Linked DNA regions of Xenopus tropicalis. The protein of the gene in region 1 interacts with the protein of each later gene in a pairwise test. Links are inferred from orthologs where the notes say so. Each region holds a gene or a part of one and is shown in the gene's direction. Other genes may lie near its edges.

Region 1 (3,374 bases):
ACAGAAAGGGAGATGCAATTAAATGATTACGACGGGAAAGGGATAAATATATTTTTCATCCAGATGGAGCATTTGGGAGGGTAACCCATTAGTTCCTAAGGTCTTTACCGTTACATCCTGTACACTCCATTTCTATTTCTGCCAGGTTAGAATCTGCTATTCCTCTGGGTGGAAAAAGAGGGAAAGACTTTGCACATGGAATGTGCAAAATGTGCAGTTTCACATGTTTCTAATTTAACTTGACCACCAATGCCTAGGCTGTAGTATGTCTGGTACAGACCTGCTGGGTTACTGTATATGTAGTGGATTGGATTTTATTTACTTTTTTATTTGAGTAGGAAAAATCCTGGGGAACTGATTTATAACAAGGAAGCCAATTACATAGCATGTGCCTCAAAAATCAGTTCAGACATAGGTTTTAGTCTGCAGTCCTTAAGCACCTATTATAAATATCCCTTTTTATAATTAAAATTCAATGGGAAGCCTGCAGTAGCAGCCAGCTGGTGTCACAGCGCTGTGATGGGGATCTTCCTGTAAAATTCTGTTCCTCATTTGTTCTAATTTAGGAGAATAATTATGATCACACGCCATGCTATTTACAACTTAGTATCATTCTGTCTACTTTTCAGGCAATTTAGAGGTAAAACTGCATTTCCTGAAGCTATTTATACTCATAGGCTTCTGCTAATACAACATACCATATATCATGTAATTCAGTACAATGTACACATTTTGCATTAAAGACAATGCCAGACTGGAGTGCTGGGGTGCAAGTGGAATGTTCCCAGGATCAGTAATGATCTTGTGGTGTCCCACATTTCTTGTGGTCCTTCCCTTTGAATATAACAACGTCACAGATATTTTATACAGCATTGTATCAGCAGATCAGTAGTAGTTACAAGAGTATCTAGAGGCAGCAAAAAAGTGTCCACCACACAGTAAATGGATTAAGGATACCAAATCAAGCTACCCAGATCTTCAGGTTGATCCCCCTACCTACAGCATTCAGTGCAACAGGGGAACTATTACCTTAGAGAAGAGGATTTTAATTTCTCTCTTTATTGGTTTTCCTTTGACCCTTTATTTGTATTTCTGCCCATTTGCCTTGACTAATTTGCCCAGGTATTCTATTACAGATTTTTATTTATGTTTCAAAAGAGAAGAGCATCAGTGGTGGTCAGGGCTGCCATCAGAAAGTTTTGGGCCCTATACAAGTTATTTATATGGGCCCCCCATGAACACAAGTGTGCGGGACCAAAATCTTGTGTGTGTAATATAAACAGCTGATGTTACTCTGTAATAAGCAGTTCATATAGAGTTCCATTAATTAATATACTAATTAACAGTAGGTTTATTGGGGGTGAAGTTTGCCCTAAGTTCATGCCCCTGCTCTGCGCTGTCATTGGCCCCAGAAGAACAGTCCCCCTGTCCCCCCTGATTGCTACCCTGCTGGTGGTAGTGTGGGGCTGTAGCAATGGATTAAACTTGTAGCTATATAAGAATAGTTCAGACATGTGCTGGGCAATAATAACTAGTAAGTTAAGCCATGGCCCACTATTTTTTCAAATTTACTTTAAAAAATTTGGAGGGCAACCATGGAGTCTCAGCTTTGATACTTCAACTTCCATTACAAGGCAGACAAAAGTAATGTTAGCAATTGTTCTTATTGTGGGTGTAATTGCCTGCTCTTTATATAACATTGAATGGATCATTTGTAAATGTGCAAAATCTTGTATTTTTTAACCACATCTTGTTCTTTTTTTTTCATTACAAAAAGTGAATGAAAAACAAATTACTTTGTAATGATTTTGGAGCAGTATTTATATAGTACAGGTATCGGACCCCTTATCCGGAAACCCATTATCCAGAAAGTTCTGAATTACAGAAGGGCCGTCTCCCATAGACTCCATTTTAATCAAATAATTCACATTTTTAAAAATGATTTCCTTTTTCTCTGTAATAATAAAACAGAACCTTGTACTTGATTGCAACTAAGTTATAATTAATCCCCATTGGAGCCAAAATAATGCTATTGGGTTTAATTACTGTTTAAATTATTTTATTAGCAGACTTAAGGTAGGAGATCCAAATTACGGAAAGAGTTTCCCTGGACTCTAACTGTGCAACCTCTGTTACAGGAACTCGCAAGATGGAGTATAAAGGTAACAGCTGGCATGAGACCTGCTTTATTTGCTCCCGTTGCCAACAACCCATAGGGACAAAAAGCTTCATTCCAAAGGATAATCAGAATTTCTGTGTGGCATGCTATGAAAAACAATTTGCAATGCACTGCGTCCAGTGCAAGAAGGTACTGGAAATGTCATAATTATTATAGAACCAAAAAATGTATATGTATAATACACAAGAAAACACAATAGTGTTTAAAGCCTGTGAAATAAAGCCTGATTGTAAGTACAGCAAATACAAACTTCAACGCCCCCATTGTCTTTCTACTGAAATAAGTGCTTTTCCAAGAATGACAAAGCTAACGAGTGAAAAATTTACTTATACGCAAACAAGATATAATAATGATAAAATATTATTATTATTATTATTATTATTATTAAGTATTAATATCAATAAATATTATTTAACTTAGTGCAGACACTGATGGCCAGCACAAGGCCTATATTGCAGAGTTTACAGTTTTATAGTTTCAGTATTTGAATTTCAAGCAGTGTGCATGATGTACACTACAAAAAACAAGTCAATTGGCCATCCAGATCTGACTTAATGACCAGCTTTAAACTCCATTATTTCCTTTCTACCATTTTGGATATTTAGTACTTTTCTTGATGATGAATTGATTTTGCTGAAAAGACTTGAGACTGATTCTTTTAATTCTATTGTCATATAGGCCATCACTACTGGAGGTGTTACATACCGAGATCAGCCTTGGCATAAGGAATGCTTTATTTGTACAGGATGCAAGAAACCGCTATCTGGTCAACGCTTCACCTCTCGTGATGAATTTGCCTACTGTCTGAATTGCTTCTGCAACCTGTATGCCAAGAAATGTGCTGGATGCACCAACCCTATAAGTGGTACATGTGTTGGACTATAGTTTATGTTCTCTTTTAAATTACTAATAGCACTAATTACTAATTAGGGGCAGAATGATTAAAATGTGAGTTTACAGCTTAATACATATAAACTCACCAACGTTCTATTCATTCCAGTGGGATTTTTTAAAAACTTATTTATCAATGGGTGAAAATTAGAACTCACCATTTGATAAATACGCTTCTAAAAATCTCATAGGAATGAATAGAACATGGATGAGTTTTTATGTAATAAGCTCTTAACTCACATTTTGATAAATATCCTCCAATATGTGTAATAGTAGAAATACAAGTCAGGTTTTAGACAGGATT
Region 2 (4,492 bases), about 33 Mb from region 1:
ATTTGATGTTCCTGTGTTAAAAAAAAAGTTATGGCTACTTTAACTACAGTTGCTCATTGCACTATACTTAGGCCAGGGCCACATTGGAAACCGAGTCACCTGTTGTGGCCCTAACTAATTGCTATTGTTTCAAGCTACTTACTTGGGCAGAATGCAACACAGTGTTGGGGAGAATGGGCATAGGCAAGGGGTATGTTAACAGGTAGTCCCCTTGACTTATGGCTTTGAGAACAGCATTCACAGAACCTACAGTTTCATTAAGTAACAAGATTGTACATTAAATTTAAGACTTCTGAATATTACACTATAATAGATTGTAAGCTCTTTGGGACAGAGACCTCCATTCCAACTTTCTATTAAAACTCCCTACACTTAAGTATTTATTTTCACTCTCATTTATAATAACAGTACCCCTGTTTGTGTTTATGCCTTGTAAAGCACTATGTACATTTGGGGTGCTATATAAATAAATGCAATATTACTATTTAGTGCTGAATAACTTCCTAACTATAGATACATTTTATTGTAATAACAATACTGTAAACCCTAAAATGATTTCTATGTGTATAAGAGTTTATATACAGACTGTGCCTTGTTTAGGGTGTAGATATGTGTAACTATATGTGTGGGAATGTAAGTGTGCAAATGTGTCGGTATGTGCAATTATCTATAAACGTTTTCTCTCTATAAAAGCCTTGAATAGAAATCTATAGCCAGTCCATTCTGTCTGTTTTGCTCATTCAGTTCCCAGCCTGTTCCTTTTCTGGTCACAGGATAATAATCCTGACGCCAGAAAGTCTGGAGGTCATACAGCAGGGGAGGGGGGAGAGGGCAGAGAAAAGATACAGAATAATGGCTTTTACACTTAAGAAAACAGCCCGTACAAAGAAGGCAAAGAAGAAAAGCCTCCGCACTCTGTACATAGGATAAACAGATAAAGAGCAAAGGGCTCATTGGTTCCATTTGGGAGCTGCTTCTCTGGGGGGGGGGAGAAATGATTTACCCGCGAACATAAACATCGCTGGCTAATTTTACTCCATTTATTATAAAATAACGTTTCATTTTGTACACACACAAATATATTATAAAATACAATGGTAATGGATTTAACCCTCGCGTTTACGTGGCATAGACCATTTTCTCGCTAATTCAGAAAAACATTATATCAAGTGTTTATTGAATAACGTTCGGATCAATGTGTATCGCTATATATAATGATTTCCCACTGAAACGGTGAGTGGGCGCTCATAGAAAGTTGTGTAAAGGAGCTCCCCCCTCCCCCGTGGCATTAATGACACAGTCCCCAGCCCTTAGGAGAAGCTGTTTGAAAGTGTCCAACCAGCTGTTATGACAATATTATGAAGCAGAGGAGGGCGGGGGGAGGGAGGCAGAGGGAGGTCTCATTTGCATGGGGGAGGAGGGGGGGTGAGTGTGACTATAAAAGAGCCACAGGGAAGACGGTTTGACATTTACACACGCAGCTGTGGATTAAGGACGACAACCAAGCTCAAGGTTTGCTTTCTATTACAAACGTGATAGCAGAACTCCGAATCCCCAAGATCCAGAAGAATTTTCTTGAACGCTGTTTTGTGAAGCCTACAGGAATCGAAAACATCCAGAGATTTGATCTCGATCCACCTCTTAAAACTTTAGCAACCATCTCTGACGCCACCATGAAAGCCATCAGCCCAGTGAGGTCCATGTCAAGCTGCTACCAGGCTGTCTGTTGCTTGTCTGAGCAGAGTCTAAGCATTGCCAGGGGCAGCAGCCATAAGGGACCAGGTGTGGATGAGCCCATGGGACTTCTGTACGATATGAACGGCTGCTACTCCAAACTAAAAGAGTTGGTGCCAGGGATCCCCCAAGGAAGCAAGCTCAGCCAAGTTGAGATTCTGCAGCATGTCATCGACTACATCTTTGACCTGCAGATAGTCCTGGGGGAAGATCAGCAACAAAACAGCATCCTTAACTTGCAGGTATGTACCTTTTCTCCATATCACCTTATGCACCTGTTCTCCCCTTTAGCTGTAAAAGTAGTGTTGCCAGTATGACCAGCCTGTTGTCCCCTAGTTCTCCTTGTTCATCAATTCCCATGTTGGTTCCATGCAGATCCCAACCATAGTTGGTGTAATATTCCTACAAGTCTCTAGTGTCCCATCCAGACTAAATGTGACTGTCTCTCTGAATGATATGTGCTGTAAGCAGGTTGGTAGCAAGTTTCTAAATCACTTTTTGTTTTCAATTTACAGAAATCTGATTTCTCAGAATTGGCAACACAAGGGGACGCCAGTGTCTGCCACTGACCTCTTCTAACCTCTCTGGTAAGTATCAGTCTCTGCTGTCTGATAGACTAGTATTAAGTACCACTGCATTTAAAGTTCCACTGCCCTGTCCCTTCATCTGTGATCTAACTTGTATGTATGGCACATAAATACACTGTGAGTTATCAGAGACATTTATTATTTATAAGTAAATTATGCTATTATGAACTTTGTTTATAAAAACAAAAACTAAAGAAGACTTTTTAGTATGAAGCCATATTTGCAAATTATAAAGTTACTTGTCACTCCCGTCTGCTTTAAAACCCATTTCTATACTTCAGACAGAATGCTGGGAGTTGTAGTTGGTATAAGGGAGCCTGTTGTTATGTGTGGTGCTCAGCTAGTGACTCTTTGGTTTCTCTCACACTCTCAATTAGCAGTTGAAAGATGTTATCAGGCCCACAGGCAGGGTTGATTTCCTCCCAGGCGCCAGGCAGTCTGCTCCCCCTCCCTCCTCTTACTGCCATTAATATACATGCACATTTCTTTCTCTGCAGGTGTGGGAAACTCTGAGAGAGGAATAAATCCTCCCATTTCCATGAAGCAGAAGAATTCAGATTGCAAGACTATTTAACCCTTTGGGACCCAGACAGACCTACAGCATCTCATCATTTCTGATCATCACTTTGAACTTTCATCCTTCACTTTAAACAAGAAAAAAACACAACAATTTTATGGACGAGATATAATTTACTAATTCCATTTAATTTCACTGGGAATCATTTTAATGAAATTCCTCTGAGACCTCCAACATTGATTCCAGTGTTTGCTAGCAAATATCTTAAAGACTTTTATTTCCATGAATTTTTAAAGGCTTAATTATTGCTAAGCCGATGCCTTAATGTAACAGGCAACTGTAACTTACTGTAATGGTGACATTCCTTCTAGGGACCAAAAATAACTCCAAACAATTCCATTTTTAGCCATTTTCTATATTTCTAAAGTCCTAGTTAAATATCCATGACTGAAAATATTCCGCTTTCTGTTTAACCCTTGTTTTTACTCTTTGTTAATAAGAGCTGTATATATATTTTTGTATAAAATAGCCTTTCATGTATCTAGCTATGTTCGAACGTGAAAGCCTTAATCTGTGGCTCTGACCCCAGAATATCCCACTCTCTAAAGTAGAGAAGACTGAGTTGGAACTGCACAGTTTCTGATTGAAGAAAAAACACACAAAACTTTTTATAAAAGTTGTTATTTTTGTTTATGTGTAAATAAAATTACATTATTTTTAAAAGAAATATTATTGATTTGTTATTTTTAGACTGGGTGTTACATTAGTTAAGAATAGTCTGTAAAATAAATCCTTACAAATGGGGCTTAGTGATGCCATTAGTTGTATTTGGTTTTTGGTGATTTGTGTTGCTTGACATCCTAAAACTAAAAAGTACTCCTAGTGTAAAATATGGGGATTGAAAGTCACCCCCGATTTCAATGAATAGCTTAAATGATATTGGTTTGTTGGGTAATGATGAGCAACCTTCCAAAAGCCAGGTGGATACTAGTTACAGTACTTGGTCTTGTTGGGTTGCATTCAGTGTTTGTGTAGCCAATATTAGATCTGCCCCAAGTTTGTTCATCAACAAATATACTATATGTTGGTGGGTTTACATGTATACTGTGTATGTTGTGGGGAAAACAGAAATATAACATGGGAATACAACTGCTTGCCTTGAATATGTTTTCCTATTAAATGAACACAGTAGTCTTGGAAACATTAGAACTGACCATAATGTAGTGTAATTGGTATACCTGTACATACAGTTAGCCCTAAATTATCAGCTTGCAGTAATAAAAAGTAATTCGCTGCCCACCATATTTTGGCACTTAAATGGCCAATATTTTGTGGCATTAATTGGCAGAATTATGTATAGTGCCCCTGGGATCAAACCATAGCCTGAGATAGCCATCCTGTGCAATTTAACTGTTACAGAACTATTTCTCCATTCATCCTCATTGACCTATATTCAATTACAGACTTGCACTTATACAGTGCATATGAGTAAAGGGCCCATCTCCATAAGGAGGTTGCAGCCCCAGCAAGTGTTATCACTGCCCAAAAACTCACAGAAGGATAACTGTAAATTGCTATGAATACTACCACTAATTGGTGTGATTTAGCCCAAATGTAGCATAATATCTGAGCCCCCATTTACAGATACAACTCA

The links.
Region 2: the proteins of fhl2 (region 1) and id3 interact in binary tests that used the Homo sapiens proteins (3 or more experiments, as listed by UniProt). The link is inferred for Xenopus tropicalis from reciprocal best matches to the Homo sapiens genes FHL2 and ID3.

Annotation. Positions count from the first base shown.
Region 1 is NC_030678.2:111,695,882-111,699,255, reverse strand, and holds part of fhl2 (four and a half LIM domains protein 2), read left to right. Parts: intron 1-2,138; coding exon 2,139-2,308; intron 2,309-2,857; coding exon 2,858-3,044; intron 3,045-3,374. UniProt on the Homo sapiens protein: May function as a molecular transmitter linking various signaling pathways to transcriptional regulation. Negatively regulates the transcriptional repressor E4F1 and may function in cell growth.
Region 2 is NC_030678.2:78,343,967-78,348,458, reverse strand, and holds id3 (DNA-binding protein inhibitor ID-3), read left to right. Parts: upstream 1-1,494; 5' UTR 1,495-1,673; coding exon 1,674-1,976; intron 1,977-2,249; coding exon 2,250-2,303; 3' UTR 2,304-2,321; intron 2,322-2,818; 3' UTR 2,819-3,561; downstream 3,562-4,492. UniProt on the Homo sapiens protein: Transcriptional regulator (lacking a basic DNA binding domain) which negatively regulates the basic helix-loop-helix (bHLH) transcription factors by forming heterodimers and inhibiting their DNA binding and transcriptional activity.